Linked DNA regions of Arabidopsis thaliana. The protein of the gene in region 1 interacts with the protein of each later gene in a pairwise test. Each region holds a gene or a part of one and is shown on either strand. Other genes may lie near its edges. The genes, in order: LOL1 and SNI1.

Region 1 (4,989 bases):
TATAGAAATTGGCATTATAGAAATTGGCCCCATCAAATAATTAGACAACCGCAAACCAAAACTAAAGCTGCTCTCGATATGAAATCCAACCTAATAATCACAGTTATTGTTACCCTTACCCATGTTTATATCTTTCATATGTGTATATGCACATAAAAGTTCACGTTTATGATTTAGCCTATAGAATTGAGTGAACTGCCAAACAATAAATTGTCGGTTTGGTACAACAACAAAAGAGAGAGAAACTAAATTTCCCCTGATTGGGTAACTGAATTTCCTGTGTGCATGACCCATAGTAAGTTTTATTTTATTTGTTGCCTCAGTCTGGCCCTTGATAATTTGGATTTATGGCAAATATTGTTTTTTTTATTAACTTAGCATACCTATTTCTTCTTTGATCAAAAAAAAAAAAAAGCATACCTATTTCTTACGTGAGATAGTTTAACAAATGTGATGTATTTGATAAGAGAAAAAATATTGAATATGATAACTGAAAAATATTGTACTAATTTGATCAGAGTTTACAGTATTTTTATATATATATTAACAAACATGTCTATTAAACTCAACTTTTGCAGAAAGGTGAAAGTTTAACTTCCGTGCTCATCTTTTTTGTCGACGAGCGATTATCGTTTATAGTATATTAAATTAAAATATCATCGTAACATATCCATTTACATGTAAGAGTCCCATGGATCAATAATATGCATTAAAAAGCAATACTTAATTTTCAAGATATCTTTAAAAATAAAAAGATAACTCACGTTTAAATCGTGAAAAAATACTTCTCATAATTCAGAAAAATAATATTTCTAGAGTTTTTTTTGTTACTTAAAGATAGATTTTGTAAGTTTTCTATGTATTTTATAATTTTTAGTATTTACCAATTGTCTGTCGTCCAAAACAAAAGTAATAAAAAATTGTTGACTTTCAAAAATATAGATTGAAAAATGAATTTATAAACTTACTATTAGTTTAGAGTTATAGGAAGTTATTTAGAACAGAAAATGATTCATTTATAATTAAGTTTTTATATAATATTGGTAAAAACTCTAAGAAATAATTTATTTTCTTATTATAAAGTTAATTCAAGACTTTTAAATAATAATAAGCAATTTTTTTCTAGCAATAATTAATAAGTAAGTTAAAATTGTTTTTTTTTTTTTTATTCTAATATGTGTTTTTCTATACTATATTAGTTTAGTTTAAGTGCAACCCCTTCTAATTAAGTGGTGTATATTTGTATAATAAACATGTCTAGAAGACCAATTCTACATATTCACTATGCGGATATGAACCTGAGTAATGACAAAGCGACACCGTTATCACATATATGATAAAACTATATTACATATAAATTATTAAGTTTAAATGTGATTTCTGTAAATATTTTTGTCTACAAACAAAATTTAAGGAAGATTTAAAAAAAAATCATATCAGTATTTGTTTATTACAAGGAAAAAGTATAACCTTTTACAAGAAAATATACTTTTTCTCAAGAAATTTGCCTATTTTGCCACTAGAACTTCAGATTCTCAAAAAAAAAACTTGTTTTTTTGTTTTTCTTTTTTTTTATTTCAATTTTTCATTAATATACCCTCTATTTAACTGATAAAGGCAAGTTGCAAAAGAGGGTGTGTGTTTGCCCCACTCCTCACATAATGTCATAATAATACAATCTTCGAAGTTTTCGCAATTCACATTCCTTTTTTCCAAGTCCCAATACATACACATATACAAACACACACATATACACCCAAACGTTATGTAACTGCAAAAAAAATATCGAAACGAGATTCTACAATTAGTCTCTAGTCAAAGAGCTTCATGGCAATGGTGTGACCCCAAAGTTAGTCTTCACATGTTTCTTAAGTTTCAAACATTGAATTTTTTTCCTTTTATAAATAGTTAAGACTTATCTTCATTTTCTAAAATAGTCAAGATTTATATTCCTCTTAAAAAATAATTTATTTCCTTCCTAAGAAGAATTATTAGATTTATTTTCTTTGCTAGTATAGATTGATGAAAGTGAGGAAATGGGAGAAGAAATGAAGAACACAGGATGTGTCTTCTTCTTCTAAGTCACTAACAAAATCAACAAAGAGGAGAAGCCATTATTATATAATAGAGAGATTGAGAGAAGAGATTTATCCAAAAAAATATTGCAATTCTTCTTGGAGTGAATAATGCCAGTCCCTCTTGCACCATATCCAACACCTCCGGCACCGGCACTGGCTCCGTCGTACAACACTCCTCCGGCAAATGGTAAAATCTTTCTTAAATGGACAAGCTATTTTTAATCCAAAAAGATCCTCTGTTTTCATATTCTTTTACAAAAGTTTTAGTTTCTTATAAGATTGATTTTTTGGCTTTATTAAACAAGATTGTTTTTGGTCATGCATACTTGGAAAAATCAAATATTTTCAGATTCCCAATTTGTTTTACTCTTCATGGGAAAAAATTGCTCAATTATTTTCCCAGAACCACATTTATTTATTTCACATGTGTTCATAATCCATTTGAATGTACTTTTTTTGGTTAAAAAAATAAATAAAAACAACTTGAGATTTGTAGGAAGTACAAGTGGGCAGAGCCAGTTAGTGTGTTCAGGTTGCAGAAACCTTCTGATGTATCCCGTCGGAGCAACCTCCGTCTGTTGCGCCGTCTGTAACGCCGTCACGGCCGTTCCTCCGCCCGGTAAAATCCTTTAAACCATAACAAAAGAGTTTGGTTAAAGTCTTAAAGAGATCTTTGAGTTTTGTAATAACTGATTGGGCAATGCAGGAACGGAGATGGCACAGTTGGTATGTGGAGGATGTCATACACTCTTAATGTACATTCGTGGAGCTACAAGTGTTCAATGTTCTTGTTGTCACACTGTTAATCTCGCCCTCGAAGGTTTACATGCATATTGATCTTTATATATTACTTATTAAACAAAAAACATCGATCTTTATATTTGGTGTTTAATCAGATTTTTATTGACTGTTTTTGTTTGGGTTGTGGTTTAGGGAATATATACAAGAAACCAAATCCAAAATGAAAATATTTTTAATTTTTACGATCGAGGTCGTTATATATTACAAATTTATTACATGTTGTCGTTTATCGACAATATGTATTGTAAGGATTTAAACTCAGATTATATTGCAAACTAGGAAAAAATATTTTATTATATGTTCTGCTTAGTTTATTATGTGTTTTTATTCAAAAATACTTTTTACAATAAATTATATTGAGTTTTGGTTTTTATGATAAAACAATAAAACTAGGTTTGTTTATATATGTGTGGGTCTAGTTTAGTTTCGATTTTGAGATATAAGATAATTAAACCGAATTTTGGATTTATTTTGCAGGTCTTGTTTATGTTTAGGTTTAGGTTGTTAAAACATTTCGGTTTTAAGTGTATTAATAACTTTCATGTCTTGCAAATGTAATCAGCAAACCAAGTAGCGCATGTGAATTGCGGAAACTGCATGATGCTACTAATGTATCAATATGGAGCAAGATCAGTGAAATGTGCCGTTTGTAACTTTGTCACATCTGTTGGGGTTAGTTCTCTTTCTTTATCCAAAAAGATCGGTTTTAAATCAGTCGCAAACTAACAAAATTACTTCTCTTTTTTTTTTAACATCAGAACGTTTCTTTATATAATGTTTTATTTTTGGTTGCTATTGTTTTGATAATTGCTTGTAGGGTTCAACGAGCACGACTGATTCGAAGTTTAACAATTAAAACTTGGATCTATCTACCTATCAATACATATTGAGTTATGAGCAATATAGAGGAAGCATCAAATCTTTTTCACTCTCTCTTCGATCAAGAATCCGGCAGTGATGAGTTTGAAACCATTTTCGGAAGTAAATGAAATATGTAATTCGTCGAAATTTCTGACTTTGGTCTCTTTGTCCGTTTGTATAGAGCTATCTCTCTTCTTTGGTTTTTGTTTTGTTCTCTTAAGAAAAATTTGATTCACCAGTTTGTAAGAGTGATTCAGAAATCAAAGCTAGACTTTTTATGCATGAAAAAAATAGATTGTTTTAAATGCTTATGCATACTCCGATCCTTTTCAAGCATTTTAAAGCACAAAGGACGTCGGTGACAATTTTCATTTGTAAGTTCATCAAAATATATATGCTAAGAAAATTTGGAAATGTAAAGTGAACTTACAAATGAAAATACATGTAAGAAACCTTTATACTTGATAGTCTCAAAAATAAATTGTTGAACCAAAAAAACTATAAAGTATTATTAGAATGTGGTTTGGAATGAAGAGATCAATAAACCTTATATATTAGAGTAGAATTATAGATGTGGGACATTCTAATAAGTATATAAACCAAACAAAACTTAATCGTGATACAACAAAACAATGGGACGAATATGTAATAAATAAAACAGAACCCGAAAAGGTTTTGTCCCTCGATATTGACTAAAGTCTGAATAATTCCACGCAATCTGTCTATGGATAATTGGGGTAGACTTCACTCACGGGTTCATCTATGATTTGATCTTTGGTTGGTTTAAGTGTCTTTCGCATGTCTTTTCGTTTCTTTGGATCACGGCAAGATTCTTGACATAGATATATTTGAACATTTTGCTTGGAGATTTATTTAAGGATAAGATTTAATTTCGTTTTCTTTGTCTGATGTTCTACGTAGAAGAAGATCCATGTGACTTTGAAATAGATATCTCTTGATTTACTTTGGACTAGTCAATTAATCTGAATTAACCAAAATGCTACTAAGCTTATAGATAAAGGTGAAAAATATTTCAAGAATTTCGGCAGCCAAATCTATCGATACACATTTGACATTTCCTGTCATTGTCACGTCACTTACCAAAAACTAATGGCTAAAATCTCTGACCATATCAAATACTCCAACTTTTGTTCCATACCAATCTGGCATACAAAAAATGTCAATAGAATGGTACACCAAAACGATATTTATAACACAACCTAACAAAATTATTGCTAACACAAACATG
Region 2 (5,146 bases), on another chromosome or scaffold:
TTTGTTTCAATGAATTTGTTTTTCAAGTTATTTGAAAAAATGGAAATTTTGATGCTGTTTGTTGCAGGTAATGCAGAGGAATTATGGAGTTTTACTTGGTAATGATGCATCTCTTTATTATTCATATACCATTTGATTAGAGAAAGGTTTAGCTTGTGGTTTATGTACTGAGGTTTGTTTTCTTTGCTTGCCCTGGTCTTTGGATCATGTGTGTTAATACAGTTAGTCAATTCACATTATACGGATTCTTGAAAGGTAACAAACCAGATTTTCATGTCGCAATGCCACCTGATAAAGCGAAACCTTTTTACGCCTCTTTAGTTGAGAAATTCCAGAAAGCATATAATCCTGATGCTGTCAAAGGTCAAAACACACTCTCATTGATCTTTTCTTAATCAAAACTTCTCATTTTCTCTAGTCTTCTTGACTAAATTGGTTCTCTTTTTTAAAATACAGATGGTGTGTTTGGAGCTATGATGCAGGTAAGGAGATAACTCCTTTCAATAGCAAGGTTTGATTAGTATCTTGTGTGATTAAAACATGTTCTCTAATCATATTCAAAGGTCAATCTTGTAAACGATGGTCCGGTCACGATGCAGCTCGACTCACCTCAATCCACCAAGTAAGCCAAGATTGTTTTGCATAAACTTATCAGGCATGGATTTGTTACTAAAGCAAGTCTTGATATGTTCCATAAGTGAGAAAAAGGCATCAACAGAATCATAAGATCACTCATTTTGTATTGGCAAAACTATAGAATATATAAATTCATAATTCATTGATCTGTAACTCTTAATTCCTACATTACATTGTAACTTCTTTGCTTCTAATCCAATTGAAGTCTCTAGATTTGTTAAAATCTTGATTCCTAGATGCTTTAAGCTTTTGCCTTGAGTACCATTCCTGCAGTAAACAACACTTCTTTCCCAAACGGTAGAATCTCGATTTTCCTATAACAACCATTAAACTTTCGGTTGGACAAAGGAAAGCGGTATAGTATCTCGATTGCACAAAGAGAAAAAAAACTGAGAGTGAAAGAAACTGCAGCTTACTGATCTACTCGCTTTAGACTAGTAAATGCAGAGATGATACTACTGCATATCTCTGAAATAGAGTCTCCTTCGTGAGGGTCAGAGAATGTAAGCCGAGCCTGACGAATAGTTAAATACATTAGGAGGCCAAAAAAAGCTCTGAGAACGTGAAAGAAGAAACAAAGGTATTATTGTGTTACCAGAAAGGCATGGCCGATGAGGATCTGAACAATGTCAGGTCCTATCTTTTTAGTGATGTTCTTTGGATTTGTGCCATTTGAAAACGTCTTCAAGATCCCATTTAGTGTTTTCGAATCCTCTGCTTGAGGAACAGTTGTTCTTCGGGTACGTACAACAGGCTACAACATGAAAGAAATTTGGTCAGAGAGAGAAATCAGAGAAATAACTATATATTGTACATCATTTGTTGGAGAAGATAATCAGAGAGCGAGAGATCAGAGAATTAACAACAAACCTTAGGAATGTATTTAGTAAGGTATTGGAGAACAATCTCTAGCTTCCATTTAGGATCATCGAAAACCTGATTAAGAAATTTTCACTCAAGAACCACAGAGAGAAGAATTTTACAGACCACAGTGAGTTTCAGAAGTGGTTTGTCTCTTACCTGAAGAAATTTTGACAGCAAGTATCCATCATAAGTCAGCTCGTCGAGAATGATCTCCATTGCAGGGGTCCTGCATCAAATTGGATCACAAACATGGAGAAAACACAATTCAAAAGTGAGGCAGAAACTCATTACCTTACGCCATCTCCTCTAGAGGTAATCCCTTCTAAGTCAGCTTTCTTCTTTGATGTATCAAGCTCCATGATCTAAACAAGGAACAGAAACGTAAGAGCAAAAAGCTCCGAAAATTGAAACACTAATACTCTGGTAACCGAAAACTTACCATTACTAGAAGTTCTTTCATAGCAGTAAGCATGTCCTTGTGCAATTCTACCAAACTGATAGACTTTTCATCAGCATCAATGGATGCACACATTGTTGATAGATAATCTTTCATTAGAAGTTTGAAATTCACTTTTCTTGAAGCCTACAAGCAGAACCATAACATTAAAAATCACAAATAAATTACTATACTAGTTTCTGAGCCATTGATTGTGGGATGTACCAGAAGTAGATTCAGAAAAGATTCCTTTAAGAGACTCCAGTTCATAGTTTCTGGAGCACAAAAGGACACAAAAAGTTCTAAGAATTTCCCCAAACTTAACAAGATAAAGAGAAATCTTAAAACTATGAAGACATAATCTATACCTTCATACACTTGATTTCGGGGTGTGAAATCTAGCTTAAGAACATGAGCAAGATACTTGAACAGAAACATATTTCCAAGGATCTGCAGAAATCCAAACAAAAGAATCAAATAACAACAAGTTGTGTGAAAGTCTACCAATTTTTAAAGCTTATCTGCAACATAACAAATAAATCAACCTTTAAATCTGATTCCTCAGACTCATTAACTCTTTTGTTCATGTTCTGAATCAGCTGTTGCAAAACTGAAATCATAAAACAAACAAAAAATCATATTTAGCAAGAACCAACAAAAAGCTAACTCAAAAAGAGAAGACAAACGTCCTTACATAAGCTTCTCACTGATAAATCCTTTTCATCAGAATCAACATCAGACCCGAAATTAAACGGTGACCAAGCCTGCAAAACAAAACCATAAACAAACACATGAAATCAACCATCCCCACCATAACAAAGAATGAACAAAAACACATCAAAACTTTTGTAACAAGTACCTCGTCAACGATGTCCAACTGATCAGCTGAATCAGATACATAAACCCAAGGAAACCGCTGAAACAAAACATAATCATAATAAGCAAAACACTGAAACCTCATAAAAGTTATTGGACAAATTACACTACCAAAATCTTGCAACAAGTACCTGATGTAATTGAGTCAAAAGCTGGAAACTTGCTGTGATAAGTTCCAATGTTTTACCAAATCTCAATATCCTGAAAATCGCTTGGTACATTTTGCTTCAAAATTAAACAAAACCCAAATCAAAATCAGTACTCTTTTAGAGGTAAAAACTTCAAATTTCTTAGAAAAACAGAGTTTTTTATTTTTTACTTGGTTGGAGGAATTCCATTTTCGGGTACAAGTGAAGCAGCACGAACAGCTTCCAGATACTGCAAACCTAAGGTTTTTCATTCAAAGGATCAATACAATTAACAAAAACAAAGACGAAGATTGAAAATTGAGGAAACGTACGATCTTCGTTAGCGTCGCGACTGTCTTTAGCTCCGGTGGAATCAATCATAGCCAAGGTGTTAGCTTCCAAGCTACCGCCATAGCCACTCATCACTCTGCTTGTATTGTTATTACCCTTCGTCTCTTTCGACATCTTCTCTTTCACAATTTCACTAATTTCTTCTCAGCAGCACCAAAGAAGAAAACGAGAAGGAGAGATTGAAATCTTAATCCGAAATTAGAACGGAGAAAGATTTGTAGAAACCCTAATTCTCGACAGAAGTCAATTTTCCCGCCATAAGAGAATTGTTAGCAAAAAATAAATCACTTACTGGAATTTGAACCCGGCCCTCGAAGGTTAGAAGTTTGAACTTAGAACCAATAGAGACAATATTAGTTGGTTATAATAATTCATAAAAATATATATAATTTTTTTTTTGTAGTAAGTCTTCTTTTTCTTTAATACCGAGTGGTTCTGAATCAAAACTCAGAATACTTTCAGGCCCGAAATCATAACAGGTAATGTTAGTTCCGTTCCAAGCATCAATTAAAATCTTTTCTATATTGTAGTTTTTTTTTTAATCAATTTTGAAAATGCTTTTTGTGATTTGGATTCAGATTAAGTTTAGACTTGTGATTACAGAATTGGAAATTTTATACACATGACTTGTAGTGTGTTTATGAAGCTCGCTAGACTTATGAAGCTCTCGAGATTGAATACCAAAATTTAACAAATGACTACCTTAAGATAGAACCATTGCAACAATCTTTAATGCTCGAACAAAACACCTTTCTAATCGAAACGCTCTAGCACGCTTGGAGTCTCTCCAACACGAGACTTTCTTGAACTATATATGTGCCAAAGCAAGAAACTCTCGTAGTGGAGAACGAATGAATGAATCTTAAACGATTGATATAAAAATTAGCAGATAGTTTTTTAATATTAGCTGATACGTACTTGAGGTGACTTGAACCTACCATATAAAGTATCTCTAGCTCATTCTCTATAATACATTGAATAGAGATATTAATCTCTTTTTCATTTTTTTTCAATTGTAAGCTATGTTTCAAAGCGTGTGGAATTTATATATTCTATTCACCTCTCATCATTGTTTCAAATCTTTGGACTTACGGAAAATGATCTCATACAAATAATACTTGGATAAAAAGTTAGTGATGACTTAGCCCTTACATGTTTTTTCTTATTTCGTTTCACATTTTGATAGCGTTTAGTTATCATTATATTATATTCTCTAGGCAATATGCGTTAAACTGTGATCGTATGGTAAAATAATAACTTCTAACAAACTTAACTAAACACCGAAGAATTCTTTATCGATGTATGAAAAGCTAAATCAGTATTAAGGTTCATCAATCTAACAGTAGAAACAAGTCATTTAGAAGCTATATTTCTTTTTATAACCAAAAAAATAGTTAAAAAGTTTTTTAAAATGCGACGAGCGTGGAACGAAACATTAAAACAATAAACTTATGTTTGATTTAATAATCACAATTCTCCAAAACGGATTTGTGCCTCTGGTGGGAACACGTCATAGATTCTCATGAAGCGTTAAACTGAAGATTAATATGTTTATTATACAAAAGTGAATTAATACTCTGCATCTAGTCCTTTTCAAGAGTACACAATCTGCACTTTTTTAATGAAAATAGTACACAATCTTTATACTTCAAACTGAGGTAACATTATTAAATTAATTTATTGAAGTTGACTTAAGATGATCTATTCACATAATGGTACGTGTGTGTGTGTATACACAGAAAACCCCTGATTTTATGTGGAACCTAAAACCCTCCATGAAATGCGGTCAGTACCTTAGAACACAAGTTTCACCAACTGTACTTCCCAATTATCCTGCCGCAGATTTCCCATTCAA

The links.
Region 2: the proteins of LOL1 (region 1) and SNI1 interact in a two-hybrid assay, tested with the Arabidopsis thaliana proteins (one large-scale study listed by BioGRID).

The regions. Positions count from the first base shown.
Region 1 is NC_003070.9:11,765,857-11,770,845, forward strand, and holds LOL1 (lsd one like 1), read left to right. Parts: upstream 1-1,628; 5' UTR 1,629-2,186; coding exon of another isoform or gene 2,187-2,265; 5' UTR 2,266-2,396; coding exon 2,397-2,697; intron 2,698-2,784; coding exon 2,785-2,898; coding exon of another isoform or gene 2,899-2,915; exon of another isoform or gene 2,916-3,441; coding exon 3,442-3,551; coding exon of another isoform or gene 3,552-3,605; exon of another isoform or gene 3,606-3,696; coding exon 3,697-3,735; 3' UTR 3,736-4,193; downstream 4,194-4,989. UniProt on the Arabidopsis thaliana protein: Positive regulator of reactive oxygen-induced cell death. May be involved in the repression of the copper/zinc superoxide dismutase CSD1 and CSD2 that detoxify accumulating superoxide before the reactive oxygen species (ROS) can trigger a cell death cascade.
Region 2 is NC_003075.7:10,191,243-10,196,388, reverse strand, and holds SNI1 (negative regulator of systemic acquired resistance (SNI1)), read right to left. Parts: upstream 3,481-5,146; 5' UTR 3,406-3,480; coding exon 3,273-3,405; intron 3,199-3,272; coding exon 3,132-3,198; intron 3,038-3,131; coding exon 2,944-3,037; intron 2,853-2,943; coding exon 2,796-2,852; intron 2,701-2,795; coding exon 2,631-2,700; intron 2,547-2,630; coding exon 2,482-2,546; intron 2,387-2,481; coding exon 2,305-2,386; intron 2,212-2,304; coding exon 2,162-2,211; intron 2,084-2,161; coding exon 1,940-2,083; intron 1,863-1,939; coding exon 1,792-1,862; intron 1,727-1,791; coding exon 1,657-1,726; intron 1,573-1,656; coding exon 1,507-1,572; intron 1,391-1,506; coding exon 1,232-1,390; intron 1,151-1,231; coding exon 1,053-1,150; intron 951-1,052; coding exon 878-950; 3' UTR 727-877; downstream 1-726. Other genes in the region: AT4G18460 (D-Tyr-tRNA(Tyr) deacylase family protein), read left to right, coding at 68-98, 223-363, 457-482, 564-626. UniProt on the Arabidopsis thaliana protein: Component of the SMC5-SMC6 complex, a complex involved in repair of DNA double-strand breaks by homologous recombination.